Rattus norvegicus: one gene and its partners. The protein of the gene in region 4 purifies or fractionates together with the protein of the main gene of each other region. This does not show direct contact. Links are inferred from orthologs where the notes say so. Each region holds a gene or a part of one and is shown on either strand. Other genes may lie near its edges. The genes, in order: Gnpat, Atp2b4, Vdac1, Bsg and Sympk.

What was found.
Region 1: the proteins of Bsg (region 4) and Gnpat purify together in Homo sapiens (affinity purification with mass spectrometry; 3 studies listed by BioGRID and IntAct, counting the BioPlex papers as one, with this or other methods). This does not show direct contact. The link is inferred for Rattus norvegicus from reciprocal best matches to the Homo sapiens genes BSG and GNPAT.
Region 2: the proteins of Bsg (region 4) and Atp2b4 purify together in Homo sapiens (affinity purification with mass spectrometry; 3 studies listed by BioGRID and IntAct, counting the BioPlex papers as one, with this or other methods). This does not show direct contact. The link is inferred for Rattus norvegicus from reciprocal best matches to the Homo sapiens genes BSG and ATP2B4.
Region 3: the proteins of Bsg (region 4) and Vdac1 purify together in Homo sapiens (affinity purification with mass spectrometry; 3 studies listed by BioGRID, with this or other methods). This does not show direct contact. The link is inferred for Rattus norvegicus from reciprocal best matches to the Homo sapiens genes BSG and VDAC1.
Region 5: the proteins of Bsg (region 4) and Sympk purify together in Homo sapiens (co-immunoprecipitation; 3 studies listed by BioGRID and IntAct, counting the BioPlex papers as one, with this or other methods). This does not show direct contact. The link is inferred for Rattus norvegicus from reciprocal best matches to the Homo sapiens genes BSG and SYMPK.

The regions. Positions count from the first base shown.
Region 1 is NC_086037.1:69,725,228-69,731,145, reverse strand, and holds part of Gnpat (dihydroxyacetone phosphate acyltransferase), read right to left. Parts: intron 3,895-5,918; coding exon 3,712-3,894; intron 3,445-3,711; exon of another isoform or gene 2,546-3,444; coding exon of another isoform or gene 2,378-2,545; intron 1,210-2,377; coding exon 1,033-1,209; intron 361-1,032; coding exon 231-360; intron 1-230. UniProt on the Homo sapiens protein: Dihydroxyacetonephosphate acyltransferase catalyzing the first step in the biosynthesis of plasmalogens, a subset of phospholipids that differ from other glycerolipids by having an alkyl chain attached through a vinyl ether linkage at the sn-1 position of the glycerol backbone, and which unique physical properties have an impact on various aspects of cell signaling and membrane biology.
Region 2 is NC_086031.1:47,715,893-47,721,810, reverse strand, and holds part of Atp2b4 (plasma membrane calcium-transporting ATPase 4), read left to right. Parts: intron 1-196; coding exon 197-304; intron 305-1,759; coding exon 1,760-1,936; intron 1,937-5,265; coding exon 5,266-5,440; intron 5,441-5,918. UniProt on the Homo sapiens protein: Calcium/calmodulin-regulated and magnesium-dependent enzyme that catalyzes the hydrolysis of ATP coupled with the transport of calcium out of the cell. By regulating sperm cell calcium homeostasis, may play a role in sperm motility.
Region 3 is NC_086028.1:37,030,713-37,037,430, reverse strand, and holds the start of Vdac1 (voltage-dependent anion-selective channel protein 1), read right to left. Parts: upstream 4,223-6,718; 5' UTR 4,160-4,222; intron 605-4,159; exon of another isoform or gene 1-604. UniProt on the Homo sapiens protein: Non-selective voltage-gated ion channel that mediates the transport of anions and cations through the mitochondrion outer membrane and plasma membrane.
Region 4 is NC_086025.1:10,647,348-10,653,865, forward strand, and holds the start of Bsg (basigin isoform 1 precursor), read right to left. Parts: upstream 3,659-6,518; 5' UTR 3,568-3,658; coding exon 3,501-3,567; exon of another isoform or gene 2,813-3,500; intron 1,858-2,812; exon of another isoform or gene 1-1,857.
Region 5 is NC_086019.1:87,823,488-87,828,311, reverse strand, and holds part of Sympk (symplekin), read right to left. Parts: intron 4,314-4,824; coding exon 4,212-4,313; intron 1,860-4,211; coding exon 1,672-1,859; intron 941-1,671; coding exon 764-940; intron 631-763; coding exon 535-630; intron 265-534; coding exon 1-264. UniProt on the Homo sapiens protein: Scaffold protein that functions as a component of a multimolecular complex involved in histone mRNA 3'-end processing. Specific component of the tight junction (TJ) plaque, but might not be an exclusively junctional component. May have a house-keeping rule.

The DNA of each region.
Region 1 (5,918 bases), on a different chromosome or scaffold from region 4:
AGGGAATTCAGACACAGCTACAACACTGAGGCCATCCATCATTCTAAGTGAAATGGGTCAGTCACTACATAGTACAAAGGCCAAACTGACCACCACACCATGGCAGACAGAGACCCAGAAAAGCTGCAGTTGGTACCCTTCACACTCTCTTAGTGATTAGTACTCTTGTCATCGCTGCAGCGAGCTCTAAGTGTGTAGAGTTGGAGCAGGGATGGAGCCTATGCACGCACCCATCCCTGCTGCGATCACCGGCACGGGCAGGTCATAGTTGTAGAGGACAAAGGACAGCATGAGGAAGTCGATGTAGCTCCGGTGGCTGGGCAGCAGGATCACGGGGTGCTCCTGGATCGCTCGTTGTAGCTGCAAAACAGAAGTCAGATTTTCAAGAATTTCAGTTGTCATGTCACTAAAATCACAGCTTAATCAGAAAACAGAGAAGTAAATCACAGTGGGAGCTCACGCCTGTCAGTTCAGCATTTGGGACATTTGGGAGATGAAGAATCAGAGTCAGAAATAAGGTCCTCCTTGGTTACATGGGGAGTTTAAGGGCAGATGGGCTAGATACTCTGTCTCTAAATAAATAAGCTAAAGAAAGAAAGACATCTGGGCAGGCAGGGAAGGAGCGCACGAGGATGTGACTGGGCAAGTGAAGAGCTGGCAGCGAGGTCTATTGTTTGTGTCATCACCAAGCTGACCCTGACCACCAAATCCTAAGAGAGTAGGTTACAGGAAAAATCCCACCAGCATAGGAGCTGGACAGTGGAAATGCTGGCTAGGAATCTGCACGAGCAGAGAAAATCCTGCTGGTACTCTGTAACCGGTGAACATGTGACACTAAGTGGTCTGTAAGTCTTACATGACTAAGCTAGAAGTCTGTAGGTCTGACATTAGGAAGGACAAGCCACAGACAACATATCGCCTAGGCCCACAGTGGGGCCTGACAACCCACCCTCAGCACTCAGTCCGAGGGAAACATCCTAGAATGGATTATACCACAGGATAAGCCAAGACCACCAGACCAGCAATCCTCACCTTTTGAATGCCTTCTTCATTCACACACACCTTTGAGAAGATCTGTTTAAAAACTTTGCTCAGAACAAAGGCAAAGAACCGAATGGCTCCTATACGCAGTTTGTGACTCATTTCCTCCAGGATCTCATTGGCCTCTTCTCTGAGCACATCCACACCCGTCAGGGACTCCCTGGAAAGCTGAAAGGAAGGCAGAGCAGGGTGAGTCTGAAACCTAGAAGCCAGAGCTCCTTTCACTCAGAACACTGCGACCAACTCCAGACTGACCTCTGACCTCTGATGGAAGTCCAAGACAGCTCGTGCTCTCCGGGACAAGGCTTGACCCGCTCACTAACAGTAAATGATGCACGGCACTTTTTCCTTTGTTATGGCACACAGGCTGACCCTGAATTCACCGTCCTCCCACCTCAGCCTACCGACTGCTAGGACATAAGGACACAGCACTTATGTTCAGTGAAAAATGATTCAACTTAAGAAGGTTTAAAGGCTAGAAATTCAAAAAGAATCCACGTGGCTCTTGAGAAATGGCAACTAAGGTTGACCGCTGGCACGGATGCACATACACGCATGAGCCAACACACAGAGAACAATGTTGCTGGATCCCTCGTCTACTCCTTATCTGCCCTAAACTTGATCCAGGAAGGAGTACTGGACAGCACCGCTTCTCAGTGCACTCCTCCATTTCCTCAGAGCTTATCTCAAACAGTGACCCCGTAAACAAAGAACCACGTTAACCCAAGCCACCCAAGGAATGGTGAGGAGGAGGGAGGGAAGAAGAGAAGCCACAGCAACTGCAGGGCAGGAACAGCAATGGGGAGATGAAAGTTCAAGGGAAAAGCAACCAACCAATCCACGTCGTCACTCAGGCCTGGAATCCAACATCGGAAGAACCCCAGACCTTGGGACCAACCTGAGCTACAAAATGATTGACTTGTGGAACTTAGGCTCCAGGGGATTATAGCAGCCAGGTGTCACACACTGAGTAGCACTTTTTTTTTTTTCTTTTCTTTTCTTTTTTTTCCGGAGCTGGGGACCGAACCCAGGGCCTTGCACTTGCTAGGCAAGTGCTCTACCACTGAGCTAAATCCCCAACCCCACTGAGTAGCACTTTTGTCAATGACTAACCACATACATTGGTGAGAGCAATTCTGTACGATGACAAGTGTTGAAAACTTGCCATCATAACTGTCATGGACCCCTAGCTCACCTGACTCAAATGTTTGGCAACCTACAAGACCACTAGCCTACAAGGACAGAACCCAGTAATTATCCCAGCATGCAATGCTTCATAATGATAAGCTGCCGTGCTATGGCATGTGTACGTACTGTGCATTAGTCAAGAACACACCTTCTTACACATGGAGGAGAAGGTTACTGCAAGTCCGGGAGGAGTGGAAACTGAGGCCTGAGACCAGCCTGAGCCCCAGGGGGCGCTACAGCCTCTTCTCCTGCACAGGGAAACCAGCACAGTAAAGTCCTGTGCATGCGACTGGAGATGCAGCTCAGTAGTAGGCATCTGCCTACCCTGTGCAGAGCCCTGGACTTCATTCCTAGCACAGCAAAGGAACTGAATCAAAACAAAATAAGCAGTGTGCTGCTTCCCTGGGGGACTCTCAGGGTCAGACGGAATCAGTGTCTTTCTCACTGACTTTAATCTTACGTCTTGTTCACCTTAGATCAAGAAGCAACAGTCCCACCACATGTGTGTAACACCTAGCCTGGACCTTAGCACTCTCTAGCTCCTAGTTTCACGTAAGGATGAGGTGTCTCCCAGAGCCCACCCCATCCCAACACAGCCATGCCTAACTGGAGTTAACTTTCTGCAAACCATGCCTTGGGTACTGTTCCTGATATGAAACGATGAGGAAATTTGTCTCCACTCATGAAGTAGGCCTAAGCACAGCGAACCAACAGCATCTCCATGGTATGGATGTCTGAGCAAAGCACAGGGATTAAAGGCACGGGTCAAGGTCTACATCTAAAGTAAAACCAGAGAAGTGCTCCTGCACCCCATGAGCACGCACACCCCATGTGAGCATCCGAGGGCATGGCACTGCAGACAAAGCCCTTCATCTGGCTTTGCAGCTCCCACTGAGCCCCACTCACCCAGGAGCTCCCTGCATTTTACCACAGTTTCTGTCCTCTGCACTGGTCAAACTGAACCTTTGCAGCATTCTATGTGAACCTTCTCTCTGACCTCCTGTTCTGAAAACAAATGTGGCTCCCAGCTTCTTGAAAAGCTACTGATGCAGGATTTGAATGCAGCTGACACAGGGGTGAGATGTAGGCACAGGCTTCCTCGGGGCGTCTCATAAAGTTTTCAGGTGCAGGTCTGACGTGATCTGTTTAGCTAAAATCTCTCACTACCCCCTCTACTAGGAAAGCCTGGACCTCTGTCAGGTCTGGTTAAACCCAAACCCTCCCTGCTCCCTGCACCAAATCAGCTCTGCTCATAACTAACTGGCACCTTCAAGCTGTGGGGTCTTCAGTGCAAGCTGTGTTTCATCATATGCCATGCATTTGGTGCCACGGTACTTCTCGGCTGGCCTTCCAGCACACATTTGAGTGCCATGTGGCTAACCTAAAAGTACACTTGAGATGATAAGGTAAATTCAGGGAAGCAGCAGACGGACCCACTTACATTGGAGGAGGGTGGCTGTGCCTGAAGAACACTGTTCTTACCTGCTTAATGACATAGTTAATCTCTTCAGAATTGAGAACGATGGACTTGATATCACTTGGCTTGCAGGGAGTAATTCCTCTATACAAGGGTGGTGTGTAGCACTTCATTGCAAATTTGAAATCACTGACCTGTCTCCTCTCCTCCAACAGGTCTTCAAACTCATCCCACTTTTTGAGGTCTTTCTGTGAAGAAGGAAAGGAAGGGTTACTAAGGCTTCACTCTGCCCCACGTGACACCTGAGCGGCAACCACAAGTGTTCTAATACTCGACTCAGACAAGGGAAAACCGGCAACATCACTGTCTACAGTCAGTTCTCCATTATTACTTGTTATTATCAGACAGGGCTTTATGTAGCCTTGCCTAGCCTCGAACTCTCTATGTACCAAAAGAAAACCTTGAACTCTTGATCTTCATCTCCACTTCTTACCTCCCAAGTGCTGGGATTTTACGCCCCCAGGAATGATGGACGGATGGTTTTGTTTTGTGGGACCAGGGACTGAACCTGAGGCCTTTCACATGCTTAACAAGCACCGCACCATTGAGCAGTCGGCCTCCTGACCACCATGTTTCTGACTGCTAGCTCTGTAAACTCATTTGTCCGCCTCTCTTTAGCTTCAAAAAAATAAAGCACACATTAGAGCCCCAAGCTAAATCGGGTGTGCTGGTTCAAGTCTGTCTAGTCCTTGCCCTTCAGAGGCGGGTAAAATCCACCATGGTTCAAGGCCAGCTCAGCCTACACCAGACTGTCTCAAAACAAGGAGTCCACTGCACCTCCCCTGCTCAGCGTTTGTGGGCCCAGCTGTTGCCACCCACCAAACCCTCACTCCACCTTCACGGAGCGAAGGGCCCTCTCACAACAGTGCTTTCCTGACTAAGTAACGGATAGTGGCGGTGATGATGACTATGGTGAGCTCTGCCGGCTGCTAAATGCCCAGTCCACGGTGAGAGCTGACATGGTGAAGAAGAAGCCCCACTGCGAACTGAACAGCTGTCATCCACCCACAGGAATCTCAAGACGGTGGCTACTGCGGGCCCTCAGCTCCCAAAAGCAGAGACAGCTTGGTGGGATGTGTAGCTTCCGACAGATTGCCATGCATGGTTATGGCATCATGTTAACATGAAGTACCTACAGCACTGCAGCCAAAAGTAGCTTCTTTTTTTGTTACTTTTCTCTGACAGCTACAGAAACATGTATGTCTTATTCAAAACACGGGTCATGCCAAGTATAATTTACCTTTCCTCTTTATCTGTATTCCTTTATAGTAAATACTGTTTTAAAACAACTTAGTCATTATATAATTACCACGTTTCATAACATCTTCATTTTGGTTACCAAAATGATTTGGGCTTACTTAAAAGTTCACAAAATGCAGGCAAAGTACAAGCCTAACTCTATGTGTAATCCCCTAATGTGGAGCCTACTCTAAGGAATGCTTGCTCCTAAGCACAGAGACCTACCTGTCTCTCCAGCAGACACACACTGAGTCCATCAACCTGATTCTGTCCTTTACACTCCTTCCGTTACTTCTGCTTCCTGCTTTAATCATTTATTAATTGTAGTGCGGCACGCTCAGGTTGTATTCTATGACTCACAACTGTTCTTAAAGACAACCACACAGGATGCCGTGTGTGCCTCTGCTGCGGCTGGGCCAGCATCTGCTATTCTTCTCTCCCTTCCTTGGTTCTAAAATTTCCTGACTTTGGTATTGAATTCAGTGTTCTCTTATCAACAGCAATAAAAAGTCTAGCTCCTTCCTCCAATTCAATGACGTTTAAACTGGGGAGTTTCCCCTGGGGAGTTTCCTCCTCGAAAGCTTCATCTCTCTGCCTTCCACAAACGTTGGGCACACTCACTTATTTCACTGGATTTTGTTGCTGTTTGGTTTCTTTTGTTTGGCTGATTCTGTGGTGCTACCGGTGAGACCTGGGCTTTGGCTGTAGGCTAGACAAATGCTCCCCCTCTGGGTCACTTCCCTTTCCCCGCCACAGCTGAGAACAGGGACATGCTTCCAAATCCACTGCTGGCCCCTTTCCCACCACACTTCTCCAAAGCCTGCCCACTGTCTGGCTTGGCTCTACAACCTGATTATTCTCATGAAATCAACTATTAACCATCATCTCACCCACACCTTGGGCATCATTCCTCCTGACTCCTTACTGTGGCCTTTAGACTCTAGGGAATCCACTCAGCATCCGCAGGCCCCAC
Region 2 (5,918 bases), on a different chromosome or scaffold from region 4:
AATCCCGTTTGAAGCGTTCTGTAAAGATCTTATCTGTTGCCTTTCTCCGTGTCTGCAGTTCTTGCCTGTTTCACAAGAAAATTAGGACTTGCTCCCCAAGGGCCCTGCAGGGGGTGCTGTGGCCCTAGCCACCATGGAGACCTTGGCTGGTGGAAGGCCGACGCCTGGTGGCGGGCTGTCCTTTGCTCTGTTTCAGATCTTGATCGTGGAAGTGGGAGGTAAGCCCTTCAGCTGCACAAACCTCACCATGGAGCAGTGGATGTGGTGTCTCTTTATAGGGATCGGAGAACTTTTGTGGGGCCAGGTGAGTGTGGTGTGCCCTCGACAGATCACCAAGGCTGCAGATCTCTCCTCTCTGAATGAGAGGGACAAGTGGCTAGATCCCAGGTCCCTGTTTTACCTGACCCCTCCCTCCCTTCCCCTCCTTCGCAGTTTCAAGCTCCTTCTGTCTTGGGGCGTCAGGTTGGAGTAAACCATTGCCTTCACTTCAGGGACATTAGGTTCTCTGCCCAAACCTAGAGACTGGGGGGGGGGGGGCTTTTTGAAACAAAAGTGGAAATTTTCCATTAAAGGATCTTTAAAAATAAAAATAAAAAAGCAGACGTCACACTGCCGCTGCCTGACCCAGGGCTGCTGTGCTGCTATAGCTCTGAGCTTTCCCGCCTCTCCTTTGCTTCATGGTGGCTGTTTGAAGCCCAGCTCCCACATGAGATAAATCAGTTCTACTAATGCTCCGGGGGGGGGGGGGGAGATCAGCACAGCCTCTGGAAACAGCTGGGCTGGAATTACCCTTCTTCTCACAAACGGAGCAGCCATGGGCAAGTTACTTGTATTTTTTGTTGTTGTTGTTAAGATTTATTTATTTATTATATATGAGTACACTGTAGCTGTCTTCAGACACACCAGAAGAGGGCATCAGATCTCATTACAGATGGTTGTGAGCCACCATGTGGTTGCTGGGAATTGAACTCAGGACCTCTGGGAGAGCAGTCAGTGCTCTTAACCACTGAGCCATCTCTCTCCAGTCCCCCATGAACAAGTAAGTTACTTAACCACTCTGTCTATCGGGGACCTCCACATAGGATAACAAAGTGACCACTAATTGTTGCTAACTAGTAAACTGTTACTATTCCAAAACTATGGCAACACCTGTCATAAGTGCTCTATGAGTGTTAATATTAATTACAACGATGACATCATTGCTTCAAGGTTCATCCTTCCCTAACACCATGCTTAGTCCTGGCCTGGGCTGTTCTCTGCAAATCCCAAGTCTGTACTGAGAACCCCCTAGTGTCCCTTCACAAGCTAAAAATGGGGTTAAGGAAGGGATGAAACTCTTAGGTAATTGTGTTCCAATTCAGTGTTTCAGTCCCTCAGCTATGTGTCCCTCCCCCAGCTTGGTTTGCCCTAGGCCCCACTTCTTCCTGATGTGTGTCTGCTTTGTAGTTCTGTTCTGTTGTCTTAAAAAGACAAGGACCGCAGTGGGAAGGAAGAGCCAAGACAGAGACAGAGTGTGAGGCACGTGTGGCTGGGGAATTACGGGAATCAAGTCCCCTTCTGTGTGTCCACGAATGCTGGTTCCTTCCCAAGTACCATCAACCGGAACAACGGGCTAACCTGGGCAGACTGGTGCTTCTTGGTGCTGTCCAGATGGGAAAGACTTGTGGCTTAGGATCCTCCCAGGGGCCTGGCTCAGGCTTGCTAATGTCTTTTCTTCTCTGATGTGGCTGTTGGCCCCTTTGGCTGTAACTGCTCTCAGGTCATCTCTGCAATACCTACCAAGTCTCTAAAGTTCCTGAAAGAGGCGGGCCATGGCAGTGACAAAGAGGAGATCAGCAAGGACGCTGAGGGGCTGGAAGAGATCGACCATGCCGAGATGGAGCTTCGCCGAGGCCAGATCCTCTGGGTCCGTGGCCTGAACCGGATTCAGACTCAGGTACTCTGTGGTGGCTTGTCCTTACCCTGGGAGAAGAAATCTCCCCATCCTGGGAAAGGGTAGGAGAGCAGTAATTCCTGGCACTTTACACCTTTACCCCTTTGTGACGCTCACTGCTGAAGGGTGACCTGTGTTCCTTAACTTCAGGGCCAACAGGGCCAGAGGTCTCTGGGGGATTCTTCTAGGGGGAAGAGTCAACAGACTGGACCATGGGCCACAATTCACAGAGTTCCTCAGCCGTGGTTAAGCCCTACAGCCCCAACCCCGTACCCCCAGGTTTGTCAGTGGAGCTGTCTTCCCACCTAAGGTCCATTCCAGCACCAGACTTGACCCCAAGATAGGGACCGTGTAGTCCCTTCCCTGCCCTGAAGGAAGATGATTTTCTAAAACTGGAAGGAAAAGCCAGCATCCCTGGCAGTCACTAGGCATGCCCGTCATGCTGCTGTTGTGGGGAGAGCTGTTATTTGGGGAGGTCTTTGTTAAAGAGGCTCCCCTTCTTTCTTTATTCCGCCTTGATGCAAGTCCTCTCTGGGGAATCTGATGATTAAGTAGCTATAAACAGCAGTCTTTCAGTGCCTAATATTTTTGGAAGGATTCAGACTTGTTCCCAATAAGGGAATTTCTGAAACGGAGTACAAGTGAGTACCCTGCTTGCAGCCCTAACCATACCCTCCCCCCGCCCGCCCCCACACTCTCCATGCACCTTCAGGGTGAAGCTGACTGGCCTTGGCAGTAATAACGCTTTTTCTCTGCTCCAACCCCTCAACCTTTTATTGTTTTAGTCCCAAAATCCTGAACAAACCATCAGTCCCGAGATCTTAAGGGGACTCTCCTGAGCAAGGCCTGTTTCTTCCTCCTAGTTGGCAAGAGATCAAAATATTTCATTTTCAAAATTTGGCCTTTGGCTGGCTTAGAAAACCGCCTGGCTAGCCTCCCCCCATTTCCTTCCCCTTCCCCTCTAGTGTACAGGGAAGACAAATGAATTCGCAGTTTAAGCTACTTACCTGGTAGGCACTGTCCTCCTCTGGGGAAGATACCAGGCAGAAAAATGAGCAAGATGCAGTTAGAAACCCTGGGCTCCTTTCCTCACTCTCCTAGGAAGGGAACTGTATCATGGCCTACATATACCACCTCATGATATCAAGTCCCCACCTCCGCTGAGTCCCTTGGGTGCCTGTAAACCTTGACTCCCATCTCTAAAGCCCCTGTTGCTGTCCTTCAGGTCTACTCCTTTCAAAATAACCTCATTTTGCTTTTCTTCCCTTCAGGATCACCCACCTCCTTTTCTACTGTATGACTGCTTTTTTTGTTTTGTTTTTTTGTTTTGTTTTGGTTTTTTGTTTTGTTTTGTTTTGGGGGGAGTGGTGTTTCTGGTTTTGGGTTTTTGTTTGTTTGTTTTTGGTTTTGTGTTTTTGTTTTTGTTTTTTTGTGTTTTTTTTAGCCAGGATCCCTCATTCTAGAGCCTCCTTCTTTCCAGTCTTCCTTCCTTCTGGGGAGCTGAGATTCATGGCCCTTCCTGTTCCTGCACTTCCAGTTAGCAGTCCCTCTCCATACCCCTCTGTTTGATCTCAAGGCACACATACCTTTAGGCATACACGTCCTCCCCTGCTAGAGCATAAGATAGATGGGCCAGATAGACTTTAAAGCCTAAACCTGAGACCAGCCCTGGCGGTACACATCTACGACCTCAGCATTCAGGAGTCTGAGGTGGAAGGATTCCTAGTTCCAGGCCAGCCTGGGCTGTGTAGCTAGATCCTACCTCAAAACCAAACAAACAAAAGCCTAAACTCAGGCTCCAATGGCAGCCTATTAAAGATGCCACTGACAGGATCCATCCATGCCATTGTGACTGGCACCTAACTGAGCAAGTAAGACTGAGCGTACTCACTGCATCTTCCGTGTCCAAAGCCCTCCCACCCCCATCAGTTGTTGGGTCTCAGGAACCCTTCCTGTCTGGCTGCTGGTCCCCAATGCAACCTGTGGGGTGGGAGACATTGTCAAGCTACTGCCCAGTCCTGGCTGGGATTCCCCTTTCCCTGGTTCTAGGCCGTTCCTCCCCTTCACCTTTACCCTTTAGTTAGGGGGGAGGTAAAAGCACTAGAAAGCAAACATTTGAAGAATTAAAGTGCTGGACTCTCAGAACAGTAAACTCGCTTGCTCGGAATGCAGTTTCCTTGTGGAAGGTCAACCCTGTAACATTCTGAAGGCGCTTCTTCCTGGGACTGAAACCCCACCCAACCCCAGGGGCTGCCCTTACCTCCTGCAGCTCCAGCCTGCAGGCCACTGTAGCAGAAAAGTGCCTATGAGGGGAAGCAGTTTAGCTCACACTCTCTCCACCCTAAGCATTTCCTGGCTTCTCCAGAAGCTGTGTACAAGGACAGGCACCTGACTCAGGAGGCACCTGTCTCCTGGGGATGCAGTCACAGGATCTCAACAGATCTCTGAAAGATACAGGAATGCCTTTCTATCTGTTCCTTATTATGTAGGGGTCAAGGAAAAGGGTGGTAAATTGACTAACACCCCAGATCATTGCTACTGTGGGAAAGCGGTGATATGAATTGCCCCCATCCCTAAGAAGGAGCTGAAAGCCAGAGGGCTGCTCTGATAGGCAGGTGGGCGGAGAGCTGCAGCCTCCCAGCACCTCCAGCACCAGTCTGCCAGTGAAGGTCTCCAGTGCTTAAGTAATGCCATGAGTGCAGCTCTGTCTCGTGGACCACCAGAATCCTGAGCTCCACTGCAAGTAGAGGAAGCGTCAAGAAAGACACCTCCTCCACACCAAGGCACACAGGCTAGCAGTCTTCACCAAGGCCAACTCTGTGTGGACTACTACACTGCCCATTCTTCTCTACACACGTCTTTATTTCCTGGAAATTTTGCAAGCAAACAAACAAAAACAACAATTAGTTGACTTATTTGGTTTAGATGCTCCTGAGCCTTAAATTTTACTAACATATACTTTGTTTCTGGTATGTCAAATTGCATGCCTTGTTTTTTAAGAGTACAGGTCAACATAATGAAAAGGCTACCTGTCAGTGGTGGGGAGAAGTTCTTTTGCATTTTAAAGGCCTTTGGACACCTGTGCATCCGAGGCTACAGGGAAAAGAAAACTGAATCCTAGCTAGGCGTTTGGAAACCCATAGCAAATTTCTTTAAATGACGTGTGGTTTGCAATCGCTGCCCTCCCTACCCCACCCTTGCCTGTTGCTCTGGGTTTGAGGGAATATCTCTCTTGCTCTCCTACCCCTCTCCCCGGCCCTCCTGACCCTGCCTTCCCTCTTGCTTCTCTCTGACTGTGGAGCAAAGCTGTCTCACTCTCTGATTCTTTGCAGATTGAAGTAATTAACAAATTCCAGACGGGAGCCTCTTTTAAGGGAGTCCTAAGGCGACAGAACTTGAGTCAACAACTTGATGTAAAACTGGTTCCTAGCTCCTATTCAGAAGCAGTTGCGTCAGTCAGAACCTCCCCCTCCACCTCTTCTGCCGTTACACCTCCTCCTGTGGGCAGTGAGTGAGAGTATATTACAATGCATGATTTACTAAAGCGACCACAAGACAGCACGCGGCATCCACTTTAACCAACCGTGGTTACTTGTCCTTTTTTGGGTACACCCCCCACCCACCCACCCCTTTGACTTAAGGGAAGAAAAACCAGGCTGGATACACCTTTCGTTTTATTTATTTTTTTAATGTTGGGAAGTTATTAAACCTTACCTATTTTGAAGACGATAACCCGGTTTTCTGATTGGCCCTCTGCGTTGCTTGCTGCTTCTCTCTGATTGGCTCGCTGCATTGCTTGCTGCTTCTCTCTGATTGGCCCTCTGCATTGCTTGCTACTTCTCTCTGATTGGCCCTCTGCATTGCTTGCTGCTTCTCTCTGATTGGCCCTCTGCATTGCTTGCTGCTTCTCTCCTTGAGTTGTTTGGTTTGGTTTTTCTTTGTTTCACCTCAGGTTCTGCCTGTTGCTTTGTTCCTCCCCTCCTCT
Region 3 (6,718 bases), on a different chromosome or scaffold from region 4:
GGGGGGGGGATTAACCTCCTAGCAGCTTCCCCCAACCACAGACAGACAGACAGACAGACAGACAGACACACACACACACACACACACACACACACACACACACCACTTTCTTTCCAAGCAAAGGCAGCTCAGGGAACAGTCCCTGGTTCCAGATGCTAGCAAGGCGATGGCCCTCTGCTCTGGAAGCAGGCTGAGCTCCCAAAGCAGCTGCCTTCCCCTCCCCCCTCCACAGAGTCTCACAGGGGGGCAGCCTGGCTTTCCAGGCTCTGTTTCTATTTTAAAACACTCTGGAAGCTGGGCCACCAGCGGCAGGCAGCACAGCCTTCCACAAGGCTGGGGAGATTGTGGTTGACTCAGGGCGGCCTGGCCTCTCACTCACCCACCTGTGGAGAGAAGGCTATGCTGGCAGCCAGCACTCCGGGGTACAGGGTCCAGCCAGGCACACTAGGGCTCCAGCAAAGCCACAGGCACCTCAAGAGCCATCACAAGGCACAGGGGGTTGACACAGTCAGCACTTCAAGTGCTCAGCCTTGGGAATCAAGCACCTCTGTCCTACTCCCTTTCTAGGTAAAAGACCCCAAGTCACTCTCTCTAACCCCATTTTCCCTCGGCACACAGCACTGAATACTGTGGCTGGTACACGCGGAAGGCATGAAACAAACGTAAGTAGAGTTGTTAAGATGACAGATGACAGCTCGACTTATCGATTGAGATGAGCAGACGGATAAATAATGGGTTTGGTTTCTTTGGTTGGTTGGTTTTTCGAGACAGGGTTCCTCTGTGTAGCCCTGGCTGTTCTGAAACTCTGTAAACCAGGCTGGCCTCAAACTCACAGAGCTCTGTCTGCCTCTACCCACCACCACCCCCTCTGCCACTGCCCCCAAGTGCCAGGATTAAAGGTATGCACCACGGCTGGTTTGTTTTTGTTTTGAAACAGGATCTAATGTAGCCCATAGTGAGTCTCAAGCTCACTATGTCACCGAGGATAACTTTGAATTTGATCCTCCTGCCTCCACCTCTGAGTGTACACCCCATCACACTGAGTTTCCCCGGTGTTGAAGGTCAAACCCAGGGCTTCCTGCATGCTGGGCTTGCATTCTAAGTCCCATATGAGCCAGTCCAATAGACAGTTTCTGTTGCCATATGGCTAGGGAGCAAACCAAGCTCTCCTTTTGTATATTTACTATTATAATAATGGTTTCTGAGCATCTTGTTAAAGGCTCAATCTGAACCACAGGGTCCAGAGTCCTCCCCACCCATAAAGAGGTATTGTTTAGTTAGATACTATCTGGCCAGGTCCTGGAAGAACACCTCCCATCTCGCCCCAGGGAAAACGATTCCTGCAAGCACTGCCCCTACAGACGGCCTGCAGCAGTGTACCTCTCTCCATTCCCAACCAGTCAGTAACTTCTGCTTTACAGGGGCACTCACACCTATGGGTTCCTCAAAGCAGCAGCAGTGAAGTGTGGGGGATACTAGCAGAGAACTTGTGCCTAAGCGCCAAGTACACCCAGCAGGGCTACAGAACACCAGGATGGCCAGCGATGACAGTCACCTTTCTACAGCAGACCCAGGTGATCCCAAGGCCTGGGTGGAGGCCCAGAAGTTGCCCTCTGACCTCCACATGAGCTATCCACCTCCAAACATTTAATTCTTTAAAACAAAACCCCACCACGGTATAACAGAGAAACTAAGACACAAGAAAGCTACTTCATCTGAGCTAGCCTCTGTGGCTCTTGTCAGTCAGATCAGCACTGAGAGCCCAGGCTGCCCTTCTGGAACTTTTTCTAGCTCAGCTCTAAGTAAAGTGCTCACATGCTGTGACTTAACAGTGGGATGGAGACCATCCATCTACCACAGGAACCTGGGGAAAGCACAAAGCCCCACACACAGTACAACAACCTTTCTGGAATCCTAGGGGCTACCCTCCTCACTTTGGCCACATGTTTCCCTCAGTCACTACCACTGAAGGTGTCTGTCATACTGTGGGGATTTCCAGCAACAGCAAAGGTCCTCAGAGAGCAAAGTGATGAGGGGGTGGGAGGGTGGGGGGGCAAGCCCTTACTACCACCAGCTCAAGAGTCCAGAGTCTCCACCTGCCTCAGCTTCAGCATGAGGACCACATGGTCCCAAACAACCCCTGTCTAAAAAGCCTCATTCTGGAAATCAGAACTAAAACAAATCACCTGTGAGCACCCTCGACTACCACTGGGGCCAGGCACCTTACTCTAGCTGTCATACCCACACAACCTTGTCAGAAAGGGGAGAGCACAACAGGCCCAAGGCCTTGGCTCGAATCCCATTCACCCATATCACTCTAGCTTCAAGCCCAGAAACACCAGTCTGACAAGTTCCCTGAGGACTCGGGATGTTGTAGAATGTCAAAGGAGCTGCTTCTCGTCCCTCGTGATTCCTGCTGTAGATGAGCGTGTACTGTCGTAGCTCTTATAATATCTGACTCTGCTAGGCCAGGAGAGCTTCCAGAAGTCAGTGAGCGGTCTACGTCATCAAATGGGTGTTTAAGATCCCACGATTTAATGTGCACCCACCATACCTGGTAGTTAATTCCCAGACCCACGTGCGACAGCTCACAACTGCCTATAACTCCAGTTCAGAGGAGCCAACACCCTCTTCTGGGCTGAGTTCACCTGCATATATATATATAAACTCACAAAGGCAAAAAAAACCCACACACATTAAGTAGACATTTTTTTAAGTGAATTTACCCCACAGACCTTTCTTAGCCACCTAATGTGTGCCAAGTGGTCCCACCCAAGACCCTAAAGGTAAGCCTGAGTTGGCCCTAGAGTTTTGTCAGTCTGGAGAAAAACAGGCAGGCCTTCAGTAGCTATGCCTGGCTTACTATTAAACAAGACTGAGTAAAGCCCCTCACTCATCTGTCTGGTCAAGGAAAGAGGAGCCTTGGATCTTCTGGGTCTGCAGTCAGATTTAGTGTTCCAGCTTAACGGCTGTCAGTCTGAAAACAGACAGTGTTTGGTGAATTATTCTCCAGTTATTCAGTACCTGGTGCTGCCCAAATGCTTGTTACAGACACGGTAACAATGGCGTTAAAATAACACGACTGTAGATTTAGGGAATCCCTTCCAGTACACCGTGTGGAACCAAAAAAAAGGGGGGGGGGGAAGGTCTGCAGAGGTTGAGTTCAACCCTCCCCAAAGCTCCTACGACTCCTAGGGTAAGTGTCAAGGTTTCTAAGGTGTCCTTGTGCATGACCCAAGGCTTCGTATTAATCGGATCATTTTATTCTTCCCCCAAACTCAGTGAAGTGTATATAATTGCTCCTATTTCGCAGATGAGAAGATTGAAGTTTGAGATCTTCCTACCAGTGTGACCTTGGACAAACCATGTAGAATTGCAGGCCTCCAATCTGATGTCAGGCCCTGAAAACAGTTTCCAGAATGCACAGTTGCATTTGGCGACACAGAACACGGAATCCGTCCCTAAGGCCAAGGAGGCCAGGCATATGGCTCCCTATGGGGTCTCGCTTTCAGTCCAGGCCCAGGTCCCTGTTCCTGCGGCCTAAGTCCACTCAGGGCAGCCCGTTCCGCCCGGGAAGGCACTAGCATGCACGGGAGGGACCCGGCGCCACCTACTCCGGGCGTGGGCCGGTTAAGGCATGTAGGGGCCAGGGGATCCAGGGCATGGCCATGCCTGGAGCGCGTCCTCTCGGCGAAGGAAGCTGGGTCTGCACAGGCCCTCGGAGCTGGCGGGGAAGGGCTTGGGCCGTGGGAGGGTCTCTACCAGATCCATGCCGACCGGATCTAGAGCCAGAGGGCGCCGCCGGGAAAGGTCACCTAGACCCGCGGCCCGCCCGGCCTCCACGCGGCCGCCCTTGCCCTTCCGCCCCTCGCATGTTCGGATAGCCCCTCGCTTCCAAATGCAGGCGCTCTGAAAGATCGAGCTAGGATCTCTCCCTCCGGAGATCCGCTCTACGCCTGCCCTCCAGGCCTCCTCTACAAGCCCGCTGCCTCTCCAGGCCCGCGATGATCGTCCCTGGTTCACCCTTCCCGGGGCTAAGCTCCTAGGCCCGGCGCCCTCGCCCGATCCTCCCTCGATCGCCTCCCTAGAGACTCCCCAGGAGCGCGGCCCGAGGCCCTGGGGACCCAGGCATAGCCCGGGCCCTCTCCGCTGCGCCTACCTCGGAGGCGGTGACGGCGAGAGCAGCGGCAGCTACGGCGGGGGTTGCGGCGAGGAGGCTGGGAGCGCAGGGAACGGGCCGAGGGCGGGGCGGCGCAGATCGCGACGGCGCGGACACGCCCCAGCTCTGCGCGCCCGGACTCCAAGCTCCGCCCTCGGCTCCACCCCGGACAGCGCCCAGACCAGTCCCGGGGTCTTCTTCCCACCCGGGAGCAGCGTTCGCACCATCTGCGGCTCTGTGATCATGTGCGACCGCGCGTAAAAGCCTGCGTGCACTTTGGCACGGGGCGATAGGGAGGCGTGGGTCTGACGTGCGTGAGGTGTGTGCGTGCGCGGGGACACGCGGGTCACTGTTGGAGCCACCAGGCTGCTGGAAGCATTTGAGAAGAGGGGGAGGGGAGTTTCCGGCACAGTGAGCAGTGGCCTAAGGACCTCAGCGAATAGGGTCGCCCGGAGTCTTGTGGCTCCTGCGCAGCCTCGAGGCCGCGAGTCACTCCGAGGCCCAGTGGGGACACACTGGGCTCCGAAGGTGGCGCTGCATTGGGCAAAGCGGCTACTGTCCTCTGCGCTCCAACCTCGCTACACTGGGTTTCCGGAGCCTGCGACACGCCCGCGTGCGTCAGCGAGTGAATTGCAAATTAAACTCTCCCGAGGGCCGGCTCCGCACTGCACATTTGCGTGCAATTTTCCCTGGTGTCGAAGCAGCTTTCCGCCATTTCCCAAGCATTTGAGAAATTAGAAAAGACAAAGTGAGTTTCGTGAGACTGCGGAGTCTCACTACATGAGGAGGTCACGCGGGTTCTGGATGTCTGCTCTCCTGCAGTGTAGAGCGGACGGTCACTTTCTCCCAGCCTGGTCTCATCAGCGCATGGCCTCCTTCCCTGCTGAGGCTCCCAGTGTGCCACACCAAGCCAAACCCAAATCAGGCTTGGAGAATTTGTGAAATCGCATGTGAGTGAAGACTTCACACCCTTTGCCTTCAATTGACAGACGTCCTAAGAGAATCAAGGCATTTGGGGTCCAGAAGAGGAGACGTCAGGTGGTTGCTCACAACCTGCTGTGCTGAATAAGACAGCTGGGACACTGGCGGCCACTCCAGATTTAAAATGCTGTTCCGTGGGCTGAACGAAGGAAACTGATGGGGGCTGGGGGAACGGGCGTAAGCCCAGATCTAGACTATGAGGGTAAGCCCTTCGGGCTAGGATGTGGGCAGACACAAAGCTCGGTGGCCTAGAGCTTGCTTTGCATTACAAAGAACCACAGTTTTTACGTAGCTTTTCAAGTCTGCACACCTACCCTGTAACAAACACCCAATCCACTCCCAGAGTTAAAAACCAGGCACCAAAAGCTGCTGAGTCACAACAGGGAGGCAGAGTTGGAAGGACAAGACCTGGGGACACGAGGAAGATTTGTCTCCAAGAATCTTACACTTGGCCCTGAGCCCTGATGCCCAGCTGTGAGGCAGACAGCCAATGTTCAAGATCCTCCAAGTACCTTTAAGGTACCTGAAGAGTTCTAGTAGCCTTCTCTGGCCTCCCCAGCTGCCCTGGGTAGGGTTTACAATCACCGAGAGAGCTTGTGGGCCATTTTTGACTGTGTGTCCGTGGGTGAGCAGAAAATCTGGCTTCTCGGAACCTCACCCTGGGAGTGTCAGTGTTGGTTTAGAATGAAACGGTCTGGAGATGTACCGGAGTGGTAAGGCTCTTACCTAAGACTCAGTGAGTGGCTTGTGTCACGTTCCCTGGGGAGACATAGACAGCTATTTGCTGTAGAGAGAGCACAGATGACAGACTAAAGAATTCTACCCAAAGTCTACTTTGGCAAACCATTGTGTTGAAGTTATTTACAAGGTGAATCAAAGTAGCTGAAAAGATCACCCTAACGGCTCCCAACGCACAAAACCTGTGTGTATCCCTGGACCTGGGCACAAGTTCAAGAGTCCCCTCTCCATTAGCTGTTGACTATTTAGAGGGGCCTCGTGAGTCTGATAGCTGAACTTCCGAAGCCATATATATATATATCATCGAGAGCTTCCTGCTTTTTTGGGTTTTTGTGTGTTTTGTTGTTGTTTTGTTTTGTTTTTTACTTTCTGGTACTGGGGACTGAACCTGGGAGCCTGCAAGGTAGCTTCCTGACTTTTAGGAATCTCTTTCCTTCCAGAAGGGAAGATTTTAAATCCAAGGAAGTAGCCACAAAAGAAAGGCAAAGAAAATTAGCTAGAACAGGGAGGGAACCTGGGAGTTCTTGGAATTGGAATCAAAGTACACTAGAAAGATTATTCATTGATCCCTCCCAGTCTCCCAGTCACAGCCTTTAGGGAGGGGTAAAAGCAAGGCACCCTTTTTTTTTTTTTTTAAAACTGGACTCTGCTCGGCCTCCCCTCCACTGTGCCTGCCAAAGCTGATTGGCTGATTGGTCTGAGACAAAAGAAAACCTGATCCAAGCCTGGCCAGTCGGGTTCTTACAGATTTGAATTAGGAAATCCAAAAACCTTGGGGAAACAGCAGGGTGATGTCCCGGAACCTGCAAGCTCCCCTGGCAGGCTTGCATTTCTGTTGGC
Region 4 (6,518 bases):
GCTCGCCTATAATTCCACCACTCAGGAGGCCTATGCATGCAGGAGGATTGCTATGAGTTCCAGCCAGATGGGCTACATGACAAATTAAAATAGGGCCTTCAGCATTACATAAGGGCCTGGGACACTCAGACTTGTATGCCTGCCCCAAACACATGTCCCAGGGGAGGGCAGGTCTTTGCATGCCTACACAAGGCGTGGTTGTTATCTGAAGGTACAAGTATTAAGTTTAGGGCCTCAGGCCCTGCATTGGGGGTGGGGGCTGAGGTAAGCACTTGCCCCAAAGCTTCAGGGGTCTGAATGACACAGCTGCTTCGGTAGAGAATGGTTTCCTGGTAACCTACATTCGAGATCTTCCAGACTGCCCAACCTGCAGTTCCTGGCTGGTGGTAGGCTGTCAGGAGAAGGTCACAGCAGCGCCCTTCCCTCAGTCCCCTTCTCTGTCTACTGCTACAGGACGTCTGAATCAACACCACTTCATCTAGGGCTGTCAGCAAATACAGGTACAGGGCAGCCCCAACTCCAGTGGGGTTTCTGAAGAGACACTACACCATGGGTGTCGTACATCTAGGACAACACCGTCATGTTCCAAGGACCACGAGACTAACATGCCAGGCCACCCATGATCTGGTCTCAGGAATGCAGGCTGCCCTGGCATCTCCTGCTGACCTTTCCACACAGAGCCTCACTAGCACTGCTTAGGGGTGACCATTAACTGCGATCCCAACCTTAGAAGCCTCAACAGGGTCTTTAGCTTCCAGCCTGTCGCCTGCCTCAGTTACCTTCCTTCCTGCCTACTCAAGCCAGGTGAGAGCAGGGCCAGTCTGAGGCACTGGGTAAACAAGTCAGCACCACAGGGTGCAGGGAGGGGAGGGGGCGCTGTTCTGGAGGGCGGGCCCACACCTAGTCTCCTGCCATCCAGTGCTGACCTAGACTGCTGCCTTATCACCTCTCTCACCATGTCAGACACCTGAGGAATTAGGGTTAAATCAGATCTGGGTAACCGCTGGGGCAACACCCTGCAGTGAGTGTCTGAGGCTAACCTGGTCACTTACACAGAGAAAGCATGTGAAACTGGGGTGTGGAGTGCTTAGACCAGCATGTAAGGGACCCAGCATCAAATTCCAGGCTCACGCAACAAGGAAACCTTAAGTGTCTATGCCACAGGGTTGACCTCTGAGCAGAACCCCCACCCCCACTGTACAGTGGGAAATGACACATTACAGCTTGACCTGGGCCCTGCCCAGGCTGTAGGCTGTGGCTCTGTTCCCAGGAAGGGCTAGGACCTGCCCGTAAGCTACATTCTGTGCTTGGCTCCCGGCAGTGCAAAGGTCCGCTGAACCCCAGACAGAAAGCCACTGTGTTTTCCTACCCAGGACAGAATAAATCAACTGCTTCCATCTTGCCAGGGGACAGTTACCTGTACCCAAGAGCCAGCCTCATGGGAGCACCTCAAGATGCTTTGATGGTAAGGAAGAGGGTCCAGAAAAGGCGGGTCAGGATTGACCCCAGGCTCTGCTGCCTGGCACAGCCCCCTCCTGTACCTGCTGCTGATGGGGCAGTGGTCAGTGGCCCACTTCTCCAGTGGAGCTCTGCTTCTGCCCTTGGCCTGCTGTCTGGGGCAAGCAGAGAGCAGCCCATGTGTTCCAGGCCTACCACACCGCCTTTCCACACTCAACCTTGCCATGACCTTGAATACCTACCTTTCCCCACCTAGGCCCCGTGCCCTTTTGAGCCTCAATCAGGCAAGGACCTAAGGCCAGAATGGGCCAAACTCCATGCTGGGAGCAAGCTGAATGTGCTGGGCCCTGGCCAGTGGAAATCCCATCAAGAACGATAATCCACAGTCCTCACTCCCAGGTAAGTCCCTGACCAGTCCTAGAACAGATGGGCGCAGCCTCAAGTTCTGGTCCCAGCCCAGAGGGGACCTCCATCTCCTTCCTTTGCTAGGGTCATTGCCAGGGTCGTCTGATACAGCCCCTGTGGAGTATGGAGAGCCTGCAAGCTCACCCCAAGGAGGGCAGGGACTGCTGGGGACATCTGACTGAGACTCCTCCAAACCTAGGGAGGGGAACTGCCACTCAGAAACTCCCCACCCACCCTCCATGTGTGATCCCAGGCAGCCCGCCAAGCCTAGGACACATCACTCCCAGGCACCTCTATACCCCAAGAAGCCCACAGGCTCACCGCTCATCCCCCTTCCAAACCACATCTTCCAAGCCTTGAGGTCAGCAACTGGCAACTTCCTCCACCCCAAGGTTGTCTCCCAATCCTTTCTCCATCCTCACATCACCAAATTTCTAGCCACCTCACTCCCACCCACATTCCCAAACTTGTGGCCCTCCTGCCAGGCACTTCTGTATCCCAAATCTCCTGAACCACCTCCCCACATGGTCCCCCAAGCATGGACACACTGAAATGATAGCTCCTCCCACTCTAGTCCCCCTAGTAGCCCCAAACCTTGGAGACAGCCTTTCAGGAACCCAGGTAACACTAAAGTGGCAGGTCTCTCTAACTCGATGCCCTCCTAATTTAGGGACTGTGACTCCCACCCTGTTCCCAGAGTGGATACACCAAGATTGCAGATCCATCGACTCCCAGGTTTTCCAAATTTGGGAACTCCCCAAGGTGGCAGCTTCCTCGGCTGCCAGATCTCTCCAAACCTGGAGAAAGCCACCCGAAACACTGCTGTCCACCACCCAGGTCCCACAAATCTCTCCCAGATATCCTGCAATTCCCTCCTGCCCATGATTACTTTCCAGCCCTGTCTCTCAGGTGGAGGAATCCTCAACATGGTGGCTTCTTTTATCCTCAGGCCCCAACACCAGGAGGAATTCAATCTCCAGGGTTGCTTCCCAGCCCTGTTACCCAGGTGGAGACATCAATATGGTCAAGATAATAGCTCTTCGACCCTGGACGCCCCTACTCAACCTTGGAGATGTTGCCCCAGAATCTATCTTCCAGCTTCAGGGTCACCTCCTCCCACACTTCCCTAACTCCCCCAAACCTAAGCCAATTATAGTCATTGTATCCCCAAACCTCCCGGGTCACCTCCCAGCCTTATTCCGGGAGTTGGGACAGTTAAGGCAGCGGCTCCTTTCATCTCCAGCTAGCCAAAATCTGGGGTCATTTCCACTCACACTTCTCTACTCCAAGTCCTCTAGATTACCTTCCAGCCATGTCCAGGTGGGGACTACCGCAAGGTGGCGGGCGGTTCCTTCCACCTCCAGTTCCCATAACCTTAGGATGTCTCCCCCAGAGATCTAGTCTTTGATTTGTCTCTCCAGGGCCTCATCTCTAAAATCATCCCCCTCCACCTCGTCGCTCAGTCGAGGTCTGGGGTCAATTCGAGGGTCATCCACAGGCACTGTTACTCCTCCACAAATCTCCAGCCCCGAGCCCGAGTAGGGAACCAAAGCCGTGGTTCCCTACACCAAGTCCCCGAAATCTGTGGCTCACCTTAGGTCCGTGACCCCAGCCCGGTCCCAGCACCCCGTTCTTACCCGCCGCGCAGGCGCCTTGGCCACTCAGGAACGTGAAGGCCAGCGCCAGCAGCAGCGCCGCCGCCATGTCGCCTCGTCCAAGAGCAGCCCCACTGCGGCTCTATAAGAAGGGTGGGGCGCGCGCACGCAGCACGTACGCACGCGGCGTCGCGGGGCGGGGCGCCAGGCGCACAGCGAGCAGGCACGTATCCAGCGTCCGCCGCTCAGGCTCGCACTACAGAAGCGGAGCGGGTGGGGAAGCGTTGGCACGTGATCATACGACCACACCCTCAAAGGGGCGGGGCCTGCGGCCTGGACTGCCTCTGTGCTCGCGGGCGCGCTCTCCCCTCGTTCGCGCTTTCTCACCCTCTCCCTCGCTCCCTCCCTCCCTCTCTGTGCTGCCCTGGCTGTCTTGAAACTTACTCTGTAGACCACACTGGCCTCGAACTCAAAGAGCCACTTGCCTCTGCCTCCGGGGTGCTGGGATAAATGCCTGCTCTAAGACGCTCAACTCTCCTGCTCATTAAAAAAAAAACAAAACAACTTATATTTGAGCAGGTTGGTGGTGGCACACGCCTTTTATATACCAACACTCAGGAGGCAGAGGCAGGCAGATATCCGAGTTTTGAGGCCAGCTTGGTCTGCATAGCCAGTTCTAGGCTAGCCTGGGCTAAGTGGTAAGCCCCTATCTCAAAAAAGTATTTATTTATTTATTTATTCATTTATTTGTAAGCATGTCCCTCAGTGTGTGTGTACCACATGAATGCATGTGCCACAGAGGCCAGAAGTGGGCATCTGATCCCCTGGAGCTGGTATTATGGGCCTGATGTGGGTGCTGAGAACTGAAATGTCCTCTGGAAAAGCAGCAGGCACTTTTAACAATTGAGCCATGTCTGGCCGGTTAGCTCGGTTAGAGTGTGGGGCTAGTAACGCCAAGGTAGTGGGTTTGATCTCTGTAAGGGCCAGTAGTGGAATCTTTCTGGGCTGGCGAGATGGTTCAGTGATTAAGAGCACTGACTGGGGGTTGGGGATTTGGCTCAGTGGTAGAGCGCTTGCCTAGGAAGCCCAAGGTCCTGGGTTCCATCCCCTCAAGGAAAAAAAAAAAAAAGAGCACTGACTGAGTTCAATTCCCAGCAACCACATGGTGGCTCACAGCCATCTGTAATGGGATCTGATACCCTCTCCTGGTGTGTCTGAAGACAGCAAGACAGCGGCTGTGTACTTACATACATAAAATAAATAAAAATCTTATATAAAAAAAGAATTGAGCCGTCTCCCAGCTGTAGCTTGTCTTACTTATTTTTAAATTTTATTTTTGCCTTTTTGTTGTTTTAATCTGATTTTGTGGCCTGTATTGTATCACAACTTGGGGGTTTTGTTTGCTTGAGAAAGGTGCTCATTGTGTAGACTTGGCTGGCTTGGAGTTTACTCTGTATACCAGGCCAGCTTCTGGCTCTGTCGCTGAAATCGAAGGCCTTAATCCCCACATTTGGGAGGCAGAGGCAAGCGGATCTCTGTGAGTTCGAGGCCAGCCTAGTTTTTTTTTGTTTTTGTTTTTGTTTTTGTTTTCCTTTTCTTTTTTTCGGAGCTGGGGACCGAACAACCCAGGGCCTTGCGATTGCTAGGCAAGCGCTCTACCACTGAGCTAAATCCCCAACCCCCAGCCTAGTTTATATAGTGAGTTCCAGGACAGCCAGGGCTACACAGAGAAACCCTGTCTCGAAAATCCAAATAAATAAATAAAAATAAAAGTGGGAGGTGGGAGCAAGCAGGGGTTTGGCAGCAGCTTCCAGGGTCAGCAGTTCCTTTGGGGGGGTGCACACCATGCCAGGGTCTTCGGGAATATCTCAAAACACACAGCCATGGGCAGGAGCGAGAGGCCAGTCCAGGAGCAGTACAAAGCTTGGTGTCAGAGGGGCCAGGACCGAGTAGAAAGTCACTATGAGCCTGGTGATCCACTTACCCACAGCAGCAGTTGCCTCTCAGAGGCTTGGGGGCCTCAGCACTAACTACCCAGAATCCTAAAGCCTCCATGGAACGGCTTTTCCGAGCTACGTGCAGAATGAGGGTTAGGGCAGGGGAAGGGCCAGCTGGCATCAAAGGCCCTTAGGGTCAAAACAAACAAGGTTGGGCGGGCTGGAATTCCTCACCCCCTGCCTGTTTGGGCCTCTGGGAAATTTCAGGTTGGCCTGGAAGCCCTGCCCTGTGCTTACACAGTGAAGCCCCGCCCCCTCCCAGGCCTGGCTTTCTAGAGTCTTCCCTGACCCTACATGGCCCACAGCCTTCGGAAGCCCTTTAGCTCTACTTCATCTCAGCCGCCTGACGTCCCCTGACCAGTCCGATTAGCAGATAAAGATGTGGAAAGCCTAGAATGGCGGTGCATACCGGTCATTCCAGCACTTGGTGACTGGAAGCCAGTAGCTCAGTGTCCTTTGGCAAAAAGTCAGTTCGAGGCGGACCCTGGGCTACAGGAGACCCTGTCAAAAAGCAAACAACCAAAAACACACACGGAAGGGGGCTGGAGAGATGGTTCAGCTGTTTAAGGGTACTGACTGCTCTTCCAGGACAGATGGGTCTATCTCCAGCACCCACAGGGCAGCCTACAGACATCTCTAACTCCGAATCTGATGCCTGCTTCTGCTCTCCTCAGACTACCACGCACCGCACGGCAAGCAAGTGGTGCACCAACGGGCATACGGGCAAAACACCCATTCAGACCCACATGTTATTCTCCACCCACAGAATGAGCCAATTCGAGCCAAATTAAAGTATAGAAAGGCAGGTTTACTGGGAAGCTGCTCTAAGGTGGGTTCACTGGTCCCAAAGGAGGGAGGCAGAGGGGAGGGGAAAGAGAAAGACGAAGGTGCATGGAGCAGGAAAGTGCAGAGAGGGAGAGAGAGAGTTAGGGTGTTGGAAAGAGCTGCTGGGGGAGGGGCAGGCCCCCCCTCCCCCCGTACCAGGCAGGGACGGAGGAATGCTGGGAGAATCCACTTTGGTATGTTAAATATGCACCTCAGGCCCTTGTGCCAGGTCTGAAAC
Region 5 (4,824 bases), on a different chromosome or scaffold from region 4:
TTCAGGACCTTCCTCCCGGTATTCCATAACCTCCTCAGCCGGGGTGGGACCAGCTCGGGCTGCTGGCCCCACCAAGGGTGTCGAGGACACTGAGGAAGTGGGCGCTCCGACGCCTGTGGGCTTCTGCTTCTGTTCTTCTTCGAGCTGCCGCTTCAAGGCCTTCTCCTGAGCCAATCGAAGGCCGATGAGGTCCTGAGGGGGCCGTGGGGCAGGGGCCGGGGCCAAAGCCGGGGCCAAGGCCAGAGCCAAGGGCTCCAGGTCATCCTGGGGTGGGAGAGGCACTCAGCTCAGGAAGGGTACATCAAACCTAACATCACACCCCACCTCACCGCTACCGCGCATTAGGGTGGAGGAAGCTGAGCACTGAACGCTGCTGAAAGCAGAGGAGAGAGCACACCGCACAGACTTTCCATCCTGGTACAGAGGGTGTGGGGTGGGTGGCCATGCTCCTTTACCAGGGAAGAAATCCTGGGAGACTGTGGGTTTAATGACCAGGCCTTCTGGGGCGAGACGCACAGGCCACATTGCCCTCACCTCTTCCAGGGACCCTGAAGGTGCTTCCTTGACTTCCGGCTCCTGCTTGCCACTGGCCTCCAGGATTGTCATGATGGAGTTGGGGATGTGTGCTTGCTAGGTGAAGGGAAAGGTGGGAGCCAGGGCTGTAGAGCGCTCTTGCCAGAGGCACCTCTCAGCAACCCAGTACCCAGAACCAAACCTTCCAGAGCCCTTCTGCTCACTTGGCTCCACTCTCCCACCCAGGTACCTGGTGGGGGGTGAAGGAGCGCACATGGGCCAACAGTGGCTCCCGGAGCTCAGGGCACTTGTCAAAGACTGCGCCAAGCTGCTGTGGAGGTAGCTGCAGGATGACCTGGAAACTCTGGGGCTTGGTGCGCTGGCAGCACTTGATGAAGCCCTCCCATACCTTGGGGTACTTCCATACCTGTGGGGCAGGAGGGGGCCATTAGGCACAGGCCCAACCAGCCACCACCTTCCTGAAGACACTGCCATGACCAGGACCCATATGCTGTCATATGACACCTTACTCCAGGCTTCACACACCTGCCTACCCAGTAAACTATCAGGACAAGACACAGGGAAGGAAGGAGACCCTGCCTCCAGTCCCTAGGTTAGGACAGCACCACTTCGTGTTGTTTTCATAACCACCTCTGGCAGGTGCCATCGGCCACACTTAATAGGCTGGAGGCACGGGACCTTTGCCAGATGCTGCACAGGGACAGCCTGTGGTCCGACCCCAGCCTGGTATGGAGGATGGATTTAATTACCATTTCCACGGTATTTCTAAGAGTTGGTGCGGCATGCTCGCAATCCCAGCACTTGGAGGGCTCAGGCAAGAGGATCATCACAAATTTGAGTTATGGTTACTCTGGGCTACATAGCAAAACAACCCAACCTAATTCTAGTCTCCTCCAAGATGGGAAGCTTTGAGCTGAGCTGTGTGCCCTGCAGTGCCTAGAGTAGGGTAAAGGGAGGTACCCACACCTCTCATATCCCTAACTGCTCTCAATGGTCACCCTGTAGCCAGCTGCAGGGAGTGGTGAGGGAACACTGCTAGCAGGACAGGCGGTCCAGGGATAGATCCTGCCTTCCAGGCATCTGAGGTTTGTCCCCTTGTGGCTGAGTGGCTGAGTGCCTGGGGCCAGGGCAGGTTACCTGCTTCATGATGAGCCGGGCCAGGATGTTCATGACGAAGCCCCCCAGGCGGGGGTACATGGTCAGGGACTGGATGACGGTCCGCATGAGCAGCATGGGCAGAGGGCTTTGCTCCATCAGCTGCTGCATCACCACAGCCAGCACTTCCGATGTGTACACATTCCGCTCCGCAAAACACAGGTTGGTGGCTGTGAGGAGGCGGAGAGTGGCCTGTCCTCTCTCTGCCTGGATGTCCCTCATTAAGTGGGAACCCCACTCCCCAAGCTTCTCTACCTCTACCACACAGGGCCCTTTATGAGGATGCTTAATGACCCTGCCCTAGAAGGCGGAGGTAGGTGTGTCCAACCCCTGGTGGACCAATCTGGAGGACACGGCCTCTTCTGGGGACAAGCCCTGGGAATAGGGCAGAGTATGCTGCTGCACCCTGGGGCCTATGAGTGGCTGTAACCCACTAAGGCGAGGGAGGGAGTGCTGCCAACACCTCTAGAACCCTCAGAATAGAGGTGGGTCTCTGCCAGACGGCTGACCAGTCATTAGGGTCTGTGATGGTGTAAAGCAAGTACCATGAGGGACGCTACAAGGGTAACAGGCAAGGGAGGGATAAGAGGTGGGGGGAGGGCCCAACCCAAGCCAGGTCCTCACAGGTTGTGGAAAGATGTCACACTGAAGAAAGCATGGAGCAGGTCTTGCTTGGGGTCTAGCTCCTGGGAGTGAGTGGCAGGGGTAGTGTCAAGGTCAACTGGGTTGAGGTATGGTCCCGGGAGCTGCCTCTGAAGTCCTTCCCCAAACACCACTGGCCATGTGAGTGTGTCAACCAGGAAGTCTTTATTGAGCCAGAAGAAAGCCCGCCTGCCCTCCCAATCCCTGAGAAGCCAATGGAGGGAAGGATGATCCTGTAAAGAGGAGGCCTAAAGAGAAAGGAGGGACCTTGCAGCAGACACAGGGCTGAAGGGCAGAGGAGAGAGGCCTGCCAGAGCCTGAGGGGGCGCCCGCTGCTGTGGAGAAATGTCCACTGCGGTCCAAATGGGCCCGACACCGGTCTGTCTACCCAGCCTGTGCTTCCCACTCAACCTCTCGCCTTTCCCTCCAGCAGCCCAAGAGTCTCCGAAAGGCCAGCCTGTCCTCCGCCCAGAGGCTGCATGAGGCCAAGGCCAGTTTCCTCCCTCACTTGGAACCCTCTGCTCAGCCCTAGATCTGACAGGCTCAGCTATCACCTCGTCTATTGCATCTGCTTGCTGGAGGTAACCCCACTTCACAAAGCCCTTCCTGAGCCCTGGCCAGGCTGGGTCAACTGTCAGTGTCCCAGTGTGTCCCCAGCATTGTGCTGGGATCCAAGAAGGCCAGGATTTCACCTGATGGGGCAGACGGAGGAGATGTGGTGAGAGCTGTGGAGTGCTAGGGCCTAGGAAGCCTGGGGATTGTGAACTGACAAGAATTCCCAAAGAAGCTACCGGAGTGTGCACCTGGGTAGCTTTTGGCAGGGCCTTTTCTTCCCTCTCTGTGACTAGATTTCTATTCTAGGTCCAAGATGGCTGTGTCTTTCCAAATCCCTTCAAATTGTGCGCAAACTGCCCTTGGGAATAGGCTGCTATGGGGTCAGTTACTCACACTGCATTTAAGGATCAAGAAGCAAGTGTGTGGATGGAGACAGAGCACTTACCTAGCACATGGGAGGCTGTTCTATGTTCATTCCCAGCGTGGTGAAAATGTGTGTGTGTGTGTGTGTGTGTGTGTGTGTGTGTGTGTGTGTGTGTGTGTGTGTGCACGCGCGCCTGCAGTCCACTACACCCCTCCTCCCTTCCCCTGCAGCCCCCTCTGCCTTGCCTTCCCAGCCCTGTTCTGTGAGGCTGCTAAGGGAGGCTAGGAAAGCAACCCCTGAAGAAGCACTTCAGGTGGGGACAGAGAGGAAGCCACGCTAAAGTGAGCAGACAGGTTAAATGGTAGGATAACAGGCAGGGCCCTTCTGGGGACAGAACTGATTCTGGATGGCCCAGTCTCTAAGGGAGGGAAGAAAGGAGGGAAGATGGTGATTTCTTCCCAGGAGAGGTTCATGAGCAGAGCCCTTCTTGGTTTGGCTCCAGTTTGGCTCAGACTGTGTGACCCTGACAACTGATTTAGCTTTTGGGAACTCCATGCCCTATCTGAGCATACTTACCAGATGTGGGTGGCAGGAGTGGGCTTGTAGCATGAAGGGAAAGCCTAGCTCACAGGCAATGCTTGGGCAGAGGAAGCCTGCCAGTACATCACCAAGCCCCACTATGGAATCCTCTGCTGCCTCAGCTTGGGCCTGCGCTTGCTCATGTCTGCAGAAGCCCTGTTCCTCCTTGCTTCCTTGAGTTCCTCAGGGTAGGTGAAAAGAGGGGCAGCCTGCACTCCCGAGGACCACCTGATGCCGGGGCACATGTGTCTATGTGCTTTGTGTGGCGATCAGGATGGGACAGGTCAGGCATCAGGCCAGTCTTTGATGCAGTAGAGCCATGTGGGTGACAAGCCCGGCCTGTCTGTGGGAGCTGGGTCCTGTGGAAACAGGGGTGCCTCACCTTTGATGATGGACTTCATGTCACACTTTACAGAGTCAATATTGTGCAATGCAATCAGCAGCTCTCCCGGATTCAGGGGGGACAGGGCAGAGTTCCCCTCACCTGCAATGGTGCCGACAAGAGAAGGAGACAGGACAGGACCTCAGCAAAGAACTGGGCCAAAGACCAGCCTTGGGCAAATACAAGTGAGGCCTTCTCTGCTTCTTGGCCTGGGGGACAGTATACTGGGCAAAGTGGCCTCAAGTCTTCACCACCTTTTAGAGCTGCCTTGCTGTGGCGCCACTGTCCCCTCTGTGCACGGGGCTGTACACCCAGGATGCAGGCAGGGACCAGCTGGCCTAGGACTGACTCCACACAGCACATGATCATGGCAGCTACAGGCTGGGTTGGGTTAGGACAGGGCCCGGCTCACTGAACAACAAAGTGGCCTGAACTCCATGCTGTGTTGGGACAGAGTAGAAAAGGATGCACTTAGCAGAGGTGGCCTCCTGTTAGCGGAGGGGAGACCCGATGTGCCATGGAGCCACGTCATCCTGCTACTACGTCTCTAGGTGGCCACAAGGGCCAGGGATGAGAAACCCATGTACATCTCTGGCTATTTTTCCACCTCAAA